3 linked regions of the Xenopus tropicalis genome follow. The protein of the gene in region 1 interacts with the protein of each later gene in a pairwise test. Links are inferred from orthologs where the notes say so. Each region holds a gene or a part of one and is shown on either strand. Other genes may lie near its edges. The genes, in order: bysl, coil and hmbox1.

What was found.
Region 2: the proteins of bysl (region 1) and coil interact in binary tests that used the Homo sapiens proteins (3 or more experiments, as listed by UniProt). The link is inferred for Xenopus tropicalis from reciprocal best matches to the Homo sapiens genes BYSL and COIL.
Region 3: the proteins of bysl (region 1) and hmbox1 interact in binary tests that used the Homo sapiens proteins (3 or more experiments, as listed by UniProt). The two-hybrid records come from large-scale screens. The link is inferred for Xenopus tropicalis from reciprocal best matches to the Homo sapiens genes BYSL and HMBOX1.

Annotation. Positions count from the first base shown.
Region 1 is NC_030678.2:70,761,415-70,765,170, reverse strand, and holds the start of bysl (bystin), read left to right. Parts: upstream 1-1,086; 5' UTR 1,087-1,104; coding exon 1,105-1,363; intron 1,364-2,477; coding exon 2,478-2,640; intron 2,641-3,756. Other genes in the region: med20 (mediator of RNA polymerase II transcription subunit 20), read right to left, coding at 927-940. UniProt on the Homo sapiens protein: Required for processing of 20S pre-rRNA precursor and biogenesis of 40S ribosomal subunits. May be required for trophinin-dependent regulation of cell adhesion during implantation of human embryos.
Region 2 is NC_030686.2:52,235,054-52,238,809, forward strand, and holds the start of coil (coilin), read left to right. Parts: upstream 1-1,126; 5' UTR 1,127-1,146; coding exon 1,147-1,391; intron 1,392-3,756. UniProt on the Homo sapiens protein: Component of nuclear coiled bodies, also known as Cajal bodies or CBs, which are involved in the modification and assembly of nucleoplasmic snRNPs.
Region 3 is NC_030681.2:151,880,733-151,884,488, reverse strand, and holds the start of hmbox1 (homeobox-containing protein 1), read left to right. Parts: upstream 1-901; 5' UTR 902-1,108; intron 1,109-3,756. Other genes in the region: ints9 (integrator complex subunit 9), read right to left, coding at 597-605. UniProt on the Homo sapiens protein: Binds directly to 5'-TTAGGG-3' repeats in telomeric DNA. Associates with the telomerase complex at sites of active telomere processing and positively regulates telomere elongation.

The sequences.
Region 1 (3,756 bases):
GCAGCTAAGCAAACACTGGCATGTATATTGTAAGATGTATCCAGTATGGCAGCATCATGGGCACTCAAAGGTTTAGCGTCACCAGAAAAGATTTTCAAAGCAGCAATTTGGAGGTGTCCTAATATTTTTGTGAAGCATTAAAAAATGTTTCTGCTTCTGCAGATTTTGAATAAAAAAGTAAAGTATTTTGCAGCATTTGGTATGTGTATGTTCCCTCCCAATTGTGCGGACTGCCATGAGAATGTGAACAGGAAAAGAGAAAATCTATATCCAATTTACTGTGATTTTCTTTTCCTGGAGCATTCCAATGCATTGTGGGTTATGTACAATGGTGGCATTTGGAGGATGCAGGCTGAAGGCAATCATACAGCAATAGGAAGTATGGTTGCTGCCTAGGCAAAAAAAGAAATCATGGCTATTGTTAATGTTATTTATAAGAAAGGAAGATAAACATAAGACAGATATATTTTGGTATAGTATATCAGTCTTCCTATATTCATAACTTTATACCCTATTAATAACATTGGCATCCAGCACATTTTTTTTTTTACCAGCAACGCTATTGGGGGTTCAAAATTATCATTAAAAAATTCTATTATTCCTTAACAAAGGCAAAAAAAAATCCTGAAAATAAGAGGCAGAATACATTTTCAACAGGTTATATTTACAGTGTTGATTTTTAAAAAAGGATATCTTTTAACTGTCTCCCTATTACCCATAGCATTCTTAGTGTGATACTGCACTGCAGTGTTGAATTCGTAGGATTCCGTTTTTCTATAATTAACAAAGCAGCAGTCATGCAAATAAGTAAGCGTAAACTTAGTTTACAAAAGATAAAAACAATCCAGAAGTTAACACGTATCTGCAAACATCAAAATGACGTTTCTTCTTTTTCTACTACTACATTAAAAATGACAAACACTTACCAAGTCACTCCCATGCTGGTACTTAATTGTACAAAACACAGCGACGTGTTATGACGTCACGGCGCTCAAAATTGTTGTCATTATTTGCGGTTCACGCAAGTCCCACATCGAGGCGTACGATGCCAGGGGAATAGGAGCATGCGCAGTGTGTGGATCTATGCACGTGTATGTCAGGAAAATGCCAAAGCACAAAAATTCTCGGGGAGCTGCTTCTCGCTTACTCCCCTTAGCTGATCAGATCGAACAGGAGGGAGAAATTAGACCCTCGTTCCGTAATAAGCGCAAGGGGAAACCTACAGACGACGCCGAAGATGATGGATACGTGGACGAGAAATTGTCCCGAAGGATTCTGGAGCAGGCCCGTATTCAGCAGGAGGAATTGGAGGCCGAATATAGTCTGGGGAATGTGACCCCTAAAGAGAGGACAACTGTTTTAGGTAAAAAAGGGTAAAGAAACATTTCCAAGGCAGAATACAAAACAAAAGTTTTTAAACCGGTATATAAAATCAGTGGGGAGTCTTTAGACTGAGTCATAACCAACAACTAGTGCTGTAGTTGTAAATACATAGAAACGAGTATGGGACAGTCTTAATAATCCATTAATGTAATCCATTTAGGGCCAGATTATATTGAAATTTTGCCATGCAAAAAAAGTCTACTGGGGGCCAAAGAAATGCTCAAATGCTCATTAGCTGGTTCAAATTGAACATTCCAGGTATATAATATGATACAGTCATACACATATAAGAATATTTGAAAAGTTGTACATAAATAATTTGCTAACTTCATTCTGTGATAAAATGAAGGATATCTAATGTGCTGTTTTATATGCTGATGCATCTCCATGCAAACACATGTGCAGTATGAAGCAAGGAGGGAAAGGAAGGGAGAATACCTTTTTAGAGATGGCTGCCTGTTCTAGAATATGTGAAGTAAGTGTGACTGAGTAAATATTTGATTAGGTGAGCCAAAAGTGTGGCATTTTTACTAAACAATAGGAGGACTATTGGGCAGTATGCTTTTTAAATTTTGACTTGCATTCTCCTTTAATGATTATACTCCACATAGCATATATACTTTAGTGTATATGTTATAAAAGACCGGAATCATGTGTGCAAAAATGGATTGTACACTGCACCTTCATCTTAATTTTTAAGATTTGATTTTATCAAAAATGTTTTTAGGACCCTTTTTAAATTAAAGGTACCATACAGGCAGTGCTGCTTTCTAGTTCTATTTAGCCATGACAAGGTACAGTATGCTCAGTTATACTAGCTGTAATTAGAACAAAAAGTGTGTAATATAGCCTAACATGCACTAAATGTATTCAGACTGTGACCCTTAACTCGCATTACAAATATTTCATGTTCTCTTGGGCCTACCCTGGGAATTGTTTGGAACCGGTGCTCCACAGAAACAGACCTTGTAGCATTCACTAAGTACAGTCTGAATTAACTTATTTACAAATTAGAGGTCATTATTTCTTCATATTTATCTTTGCTTGTATATTGGCAAATCAATCATTATCTTTTGTAAATCCTTGCCCTTCAGATTCCAAGAACAGAGCAGAGGGTTCAGACTCTGAAGATGATGAGTGGCCTTCATTGGAGAAGGCAGCCAGTCTGGAGAAAGGTACCCTCAACGAGGAGGTACAAATTAACCCTGAAGATGAAAAGGCAATGGAAATGTTTATGAATAAGAACCCTCCACTAAGGTAAAGTAGCAACTATCTGGAGACGCCAAGGGTTACATGGGTCAAATAAAGCCGGGCCAGAACTTGGGGTAGTCAGAAGGGAGCAACGATGTGGGGGTGTGACAGTTACCTCTTCTGCCTACCCCCTAGTACACACACTATTGCCCCAGCTGCTTTTCTCGCATCCTACCCGGGATGTCAGTGCACTTTCTCATGTACACACATGAGAGGTGGGGTGCAGGGTGGCCAATTGGGTTGCCTAGGGTGCCCGGTCGGCTTGGCCAGCCCCTGAATAAAATAATCATTAATAGAAATACTTTATAGCAAAGATTACGGAACTTTATCCATACACTATCATTTGTGAAATTTAACAGGTCTGGATATGTACATTTTAGTCAAAAGATGATTTTGAATAAAAACAAATTAGTGATGAGTGATTCATAACATTTTCAACCCTAACCTGCTGTTTTCCAACCCAGCTTCTACTATAACTTTTATGTGGTTCTTCTCCGATGACTCTTATATGGGTGGGACCAGTCACCACAGGAGATGGGTTAGAATTAATACATCACCTGGTTGCAGTTTTACCTGCCACCCTCTTAAACCCGCTTCTAGGGCTTGGTTCTCGTGGGTTTTGAGTCATCCCATTTATCCCTAGTGTGAATGAATGCTTAGTTTACCTATAGTTGCAACCAGTAGAGCAAAATGAAACTGAATTGCTGTCTCTGCTAATTTCTTTAGTATATGGCTTTACATAATGACAAACCCCTCCATTGTTTCTAATCCCTCTATCCCTCCTAAAAGGGGTGTAACCATGTATATTCACAGCCCAGTCACTTGTTTCATCTCACTAGGTCTCAGTGATACAAATTATATCCTAATTGTCAGTACATTCAATAGACTCCAGCTCTTCTAATTTCCCTGACAAGCTCTGTGCATTTGCCAGCATGCCGTGGAGGTTACTATTTTTCCCTCTAATATTTACATTACAGAACTAAGAGTTAGATCTGAGGTTACTATTAGGGGTTTTCCATGTAACAGAGGAATCTCCTTAGCTGGTAAAATGTATGTATCCTTGCTTATCCCACTGCCAGATCTACACTAGCTTTCCCATAACCCCCCCCCCCCTGCCTTTTT
Region 2 (3,756 bases), on another chromosome or scaffold:
AATAAGCTCCACCTTCAATGCTCAACATTCAGGTGTAGAATTAAACATGGCCTCAAATATAGTGCCCTTAGTACAGCGCCCCCACATACACTACCCCCCCCCCCACCGTCAGTCCCCATGGCAGCAGTGAGTATGTGCCCAATCCCCTTGCAGTCTGGGGGTAGCAGAACTACATTAATAACAGGGGCAGTCACAGCTTGGCTGCTCTCCTCCCCATGTATAGAGACAGGGGTGTACCCAGTACTATATACCCCATGGCAGCAGTGAGTATGTGTCCAATCCCCTTGCAGTCTGGGGGTAGCAGAACTACATTAATAACAGGGGCAGTCACAGCTTGGCTGCTCTCCTCCCCATGTATAGAGACAGGGGTGTACCCAGTACTATATACCCCATGGCAGCAGTGAGTATGTGCCCCATCCCCTTGCAGTCTGGGGGTAGCAGAACTACATTAATAACAGGGGCAGTCACAGCTTGGCTGCTCTCCTCCCCATGTATAGAGACAGGGGTGTACCCAGTACTATATACCCCATGGCAGCAGTGAGTATGTGTCCAATCCCCTTGCAGTCTGGGGGTAGCAGAACTACATTAATAACAGGGGCAGTCACAGCTTGGCTGCTCTCCTCCCCATGTATAGAGACAGGGGTGTACCCAGTACTATATACCCCATGGCAGCAGTGAGTATGTGCCCCATCCCCTTGCAGTCTGGGGGTAGCAGAACTACATTAATAACAGGGGCAGTCACAGCTTGGCTGCTCTCCTCCCCATGTATAGAGACAGGGGTGTACCCAGTACTATATACCCCATGGCAGCAGTGAGTATGTGCCCAATCCCCTTGCAGTCTGGGGGTAGCAGAACTACATTAATAACAGGGGCAGTCACAGCTTGGCTGCTCTCCCCCCATGGCAGCAGTGGGAGGAGCTTACCTTGAGTCGCTCCCATAGTTACAGTATGTGGGAGGAGCTTACCTTGAGCCGCTCCCATGAGCACCAGTAAAACTAGAGGCCCCGCCAACATCTTGCCTGTAACATTGGCCTGTCACGTGCCCCTGATCAGCTGATGCTCACATGACTGAGGAATCATCCAATCACTTCCTTCCGCCGTGGTAGTGTGACGTATTTCCGGAGCTGTGCCTGTGCCCCAAGCAAGATGGCGGCGCCCAGTTGTGTGCGAGTGAAGCTGCTGTTCGACTACCCGCCCCCGGCCCTCCCGGAGAGCTCCATGCTGTGGCTGCTGCTGGATGTGAAGCGGTGCCGGGCGGTGACCGACCTGGCCAGTATTATCCGCCAGAGATACATGGGCGGCCGGGGGGGCGGCCTGAGCCTGTATGTGGAGGATTGTCTGCTGCCGCCGGGGGAGAGCATCCTGCTCATTAGGGACAATGACTCCATCAGGTACGGGGGGGGGAATGGCTGAGTATATCCATCATTGGGGGGGGATGGCTGAGTATATCCATCATTGGGGGGGGGAATGGCTGAGTATATCCATCATTGGGGGGGGGGAATGGCTGAGTATATCCATCATTGGGGGGGGGAATGGCTGAGTATATCCATCATTGGGGGGGGGAATGGCTGAGTATATCCATCATTGGGGGGGGGGAATGGCTGAGTATATCCATCATTGGGGGGGGGAATGGCTGAGTATATCCATCATTGGGGGGGGGGGGGGGGGAGAATGGCTGAGTATATCCATCATTGGGGGGGGAATGGCTGAGTATATCCATCATTGGGGGGGGGAATGGCTGAGTATATCCATCATTGGGGGGGGGAATGGCTGAGTATATCCATCATTGGGGGGGGAATGGCTGAGTATATCCATCATTGGGGGGGGAATGGCTGAGTATATCCATCATTGGGGGGGGAATGGCTGAGTATATCCATCATTGGGGGGGGGAATGGCTGAGTATATCCATCATTGGGGGGGGGAATGGCTGAGTATATCCATCATTGGGGGGGGAATGGCTGAGTATATCCATCATTGGGGGGGGGGGAATGGCTGAGTATATCCATCATTGGGGGGGGGAATGGCTGAGTATATCCATCATTGGGGGGGGGGGGAATGGCTGAGTATATCCATCATTGGGGGGGGAATGGCTGAGTATATCCATCATTGGGGGGGGGGAATGGCTGAGTATATCCATCATTGGGGGGGGGGGAATGGCTGAGTATATCCATCATTGGGGGGGGGGGGAATGGCTGAGTATATCCATCATTGGGGGGAATGGCTGAGTATATCCATCATTGGGGGATGGCTGAGTACCCATGGGGGGGGGGAGAATGGCTGAGTATATCCATCATTGGGGGGAATGGCTGAGTATATCCATCATTGGGGGGGAATGGCTGAGTATATCCATCATTGGGGGGAATGGGCTGAGTATATCCATCATTGGGGGGGGGGGGGGGAGAATGGCTGAGTATATCCATCATTGGGGGGGGGGGGAATGGCTGAGTATATCCATCATTGGGGGGGGGGAATGGGCTGAGTATATCCATCATTGGGGGGGGGGATGGCTGAGTATATCATCATTGGGGGGGGGGGGAATGGCTGAGTATATCCATCATTGGGGGGGGGAATGGCTGAGTATTCCATCATTGGGGGGAATGGCTGAGTATATCCATCATTGGGGGGGGGGGGGGGGGGAGAATGGCTGAGTATATCCATCATTGGGGGGGGGAATGGCTGAGTATATCCATCATTGGGGGGGAATGGCTGAGTATATCCATCATTGGGGGGGGAATGGCTGAGTATATCCATCATTGGGGGGGGGGGGGAGAATGGCTGAGTATATCCATCATTGGGGGGGAAGCTGAGTATATCCATCATTGGGGGGGGAATGGCTGAGTATATCCATCATTGGGGGGGGGAATGGCTGAGTATATCCATCATTGGGGGGGGGAATGGCTGAGTATATCCATCATTGGGGGGGGGAATGGCTGAGTATATCCATCATTGGGGGGGAGGGAATGGCTGAGTATATCCATCATTGGGGGGGGGGGAATGGCTGAGTATATCCATCATTGGGGGGGGGGGGGGGAATGGCTGAGTATATCCATCATTGGGGGGGGGGAATGGCTGAGTATATCCATCATTGGGGGGGGAATGGCTGAGTATATCCATCATTGGGGGGGGGGGGAATGGCTGAGTATATCCATCATTGGGGGGGGGGAATGGCTGAGTATATCCATCATTGGGGGGGGGGGAATGGCTGAGTATATCCATCATTGGGGGGGGGGGAATGGCTGAGTATATCCATCATTGGGGGGGGGAATGGCTGATATATCCATCATTGGGGGGGGGGAATGGCTGAGTATATCCATCATTGGGGGGGGGGAATGGCTGAGTATATCCATCATTGGGGGGGGGGAATGGCTGAGTATATCCATCATTGGGGGGGGGGAATGGCTGAGTATATCCATCATTGGGGGGGGGAATGGCTGAGTATATCCATCATTGGGGGGGGGGAATGGCTGAGTATATCCATCATTGGGGGGGGGGAATGGCTGAGTATATCCATCATTGGGGGGGGGGGAATGGCTGAGTATATCCATCATTGGGGGGGGGGGAATGGCTGAGTATATCCATCATTGGGGGGGGAATGGCTGAGTATATCCATCATTGGGGGGGGGGGGAATGGCTGAGTATATCCATCATTGGGGGGGGGGAATGGCTGAGTATATCCATCATTGGGGGGGAATGGCTGAGTATATCCATCATTGGGGGGGGAATGGCTGAGTATATCCATCATTGGGGGGAGGGGAA
Region 3 (3,756 bases), on another chromosome or scaffold:
ATAAGGAACTCCTCTGTGACTTATAATATCCCTATATGTTACAATAGGGGGCACTTTATTCACTATATATTATAAGGAACCCCTCGGGGGCTTATAATATCCCTATATGTTACAATAGGGGGTACTTTATTCACTATATAACAGGATGTGGACCCCTTAGCAACAAACACATGTGCATTAGCCCATAGCAACCAATCAGCTTTGATCAATTTAGAGCAGGTCAGACTCATGGAAGTAGATTGGCTGCTATGGGTTACTGCACTTTTGCACCACTCTTACTAAATACCCTGTCAGAGGGTAAACTGACATCTATGTACATCTGATGGCCATATTTAAGTGAGGGTAGGGACTTTGTCAGGGAAGGGACTAGAGAGGACCTGGAGCCCACACACATAAAACAGAGGAATGGGCACATTTAGGACCTGCTATTTACTCGCAGAACTACAACACTGTTGGGGGATGCTGGGAGCTGTAGTTCAGGCAAAGGTTGGAAAGGCGCCATTTGGGAAGCACATTGCGGATACAGACACGCCAGGGCATATCATATCTATAAAGGCATGAGAGAAAATATAAGAACCCAAAACCATGAATCTCACCAGCTTCATCTTTGCCTTGTCCCCGGCCTCACCGCCGAGCGCCCCTTTTTCTGGTGACGCGATGGTTTCTGGGACTTGTAGTCTCTCCGGCCCATAACTCGCTGCGTCAGTGTGACGTACGCTCAGCCAGGCGGGATAGGGCGGTAAGAGAGAGACTGGCGCTCGGCATGCCGGGTAGTGTAGTTTTCCTGCTTTCGCCTTCCGCTCGCTCCCCGGGGAGAGTCTGGCTGCGCCGAAAACTACAACTCCCAGACTCCCGCGCAAACATTCGGCTGGGAGCTGCGCGCTGCTGAGTGCCAACATGGCGGCGGGGTGGCAGACAAAGACGGGTCGGGTTCCGATGTGAGTCCCGGAGGCGGGTGGGGGAAAGTGAGCGCGTCGGGCACCGAGGGCTGCTACTGGCACTCCGACTGGCATAGGACTGGCATACATTCTCTTTCTGCCCGCTGGCTGCGGGCTCGGCAACCGGACTCATGTTGTGTGGGAGAGAGTGAGCGCTGCTCGGCACTCAGGTAAGGTACTGGCACCCCCTGCTCTCCAGCAACTCCTGCACTCTGCCCCGCTGCACTCTACTCTCTCTGTCTCACTCTCTTACTGCACTCTCTCACTGTGCCACACACTGCCTGACTGTCTCTTACTACACTCTCTCACTGTGCCACACACTGCCTGACTGTCTCTTACTGCACTCTCTCACTGTGCCACACACTGCCTGACTGTCTCTTACTGCACTCTCTCACTGTGCCACACACTGCCTGACTGTCTCTCACTGCACTCTCTCACTGTGCCACACACTGCCTGGCTGTCTCTCACTGCACTCTCTCACTGTGCCACACACTGCCTGGCTGTCTCTTACTGCACTCTCTCACTGTGCCACACACTGCCTGGCTGTCTCTTACTGCACTCTCTCACTGTGCCACACACTGCCTGACTGTCTCTTACTGCACTCTCTCACTGTGCCACACACTGCCTGACTGTCTCTTACTGCACTCTCACTGTGCCACACACTGCCTGACTGTCTCTCACTGCACTCTCTCACTGTGCCACACACTGCCTGACTGTCTCTTACTGCACTCTCTCACTGTGCCACACACTGCCTGGCACCCTTGCCTCTCTTTCTCACTCTGACTGGCACCTACAGCACTCACTCACTGCTCTCTCACCCTGACTGGCACCTACAGCACTCTCACTCTGACTGGCACCTACAGCACTCTCGCTTGCTGCTCTCTCACTCTGACTGGCACCTACAGCACTCTCACTCACTCACTGCTCTCTCACTCTGACTGGCACCTACAGCACTCTCGCTTGCTGCTCTCTCACTCTGACTGGCACCTACAGCACTCTCACTCACTCACTGCTCTCTCACTCTGACTGGCACCTACAGCACTCTCACTCTGACTGGCACCTACAGCACTCACTCACTGCTCTCTCACTCTGACTGGCACCTACAGCACTCACTCACTGCTCTCTCACTCTGACTGGCACCTACAGCACTCACTCACTGCTCTCTCACTCTGACTGGCACCTACAGCACTCACTCACTGCTCTCTCACTCTGACTGGCACCTACAGCACTCACTCACTGCTCTCTCACTCTGACTGGCACCTACAGCACTCACTCACTGCTCTCTCACTCTGACTGGCACCTACAGCACTCTCACTCACTCACTGCTCTCTCACTCTGACTGGCACCTACAGCACTCTCTCACTGCTCTCTCACTCTGACTGGCATCTACAGCACTCTCTTACTCTGGCACTTACAACACTCACTGACTGCTCTCACTCTGACTGGCACATCCTGCACTCACTGCCCTCTCACTTTGACTGGCAACTCCTGCACTCTCTCTGTGCCTGCCCCACTGCACTTTTTTGCCTTTTTCTTTTCGCTTGCTGCACCCTTATGTTGTGTTGACACTTTTTTAACTTTTAAGCCAAGCCCCTGGCAGTTTCACGCTGAACCCATTGAACTTGCATCCTGCCTGGCACATTATATACCCTGTGTTGCCTCTCACCCCCTGCACTCTCCCTGCTCCTGCCCTGTTGCACTCTCCCTGACATGGCACTTGCTGCACTCTCGCTGCTCCTGCCCTGTTGCACTCTCCCTGACATGGCACTTACTGCACTCTCCCTGCTCCTGCCCTGTTGCACTCTCCCTGCTCCTGCCCTGTTGCACTCTCCCTGCTCCTGCCCTGTTGCACTCTCCCTGCTCCTGCCCTGTTGCACTCTCCCTGACATGGTACTTACTGCACTCTCGCTGGTCCTGCCCTGTTGCACTCTTCCTGACATGGCACTTGGTGCACTCACTCTGCTCCTGCCCTGTTGCACTCTCCCTGACATGGCACTTAGTGCACTCTCGCTGGTCCTGCCCTGTTGCACTCTCCCTGACATGGCACTTAGTGCACTCTCGCTGCTGCTACCCTGTTGCACTCTCCCTGACATGGCACTTAGTGCACTCTCGCTGCTGCTACCCTGTTGCACTCTCCCTGACATGGCACTTACTTGCTGCCGGGTATGTTGCTGTATGTGACAGTGCACACTGCACAGGTGTGGATGCCCCTCTCGGCACTCTCACACTATTCCCTGCCCAACTGCACTCTTCTGACTGCTACTTTCTGTATTGACATTGCCCCTGCCCAGCTGTGCGCTCACCTTTCTCTCTTTCACATAATTGTCTGTCCCTTGTGCAACTCTACACTCTCAGACTTCTTTCACATATACGGCACTCTTGTACACCGTCCCCTCTTTAAACTGCGCTCTGTTTCTTCCCCATGTGCCAACTGCTCTGTGTACAGCTGTCCCCCACTCACCCCTGTAGCACCCCGCACATTTACCCTGCCCCATATACAACTTGCCCCTAGCACTTCTCCCTGATACACATTGCTGAATGGCACCCCTGCTTCTATCACTCATGTTTGTTTCATGCCTCCCTCTCTGCCCGGTCCTTGCACCCTGACTGACCTGCACCCTAGTCTGATACTTGCACCCTCACACTTCAGCCCGATGCCTAGGCACTGCCTTGCCAGCTAGCACTTAGCTTTCATTTGGACAAAACCTTTAAACTTGATGGTTTCGTGTCTGTTTTCCAGCCATAATTCCTGTGTATGTTACTATGTTGCCCAGTGAAGCCTGATACTTGTACTCATTGCACTCCTCGCACTGCACTA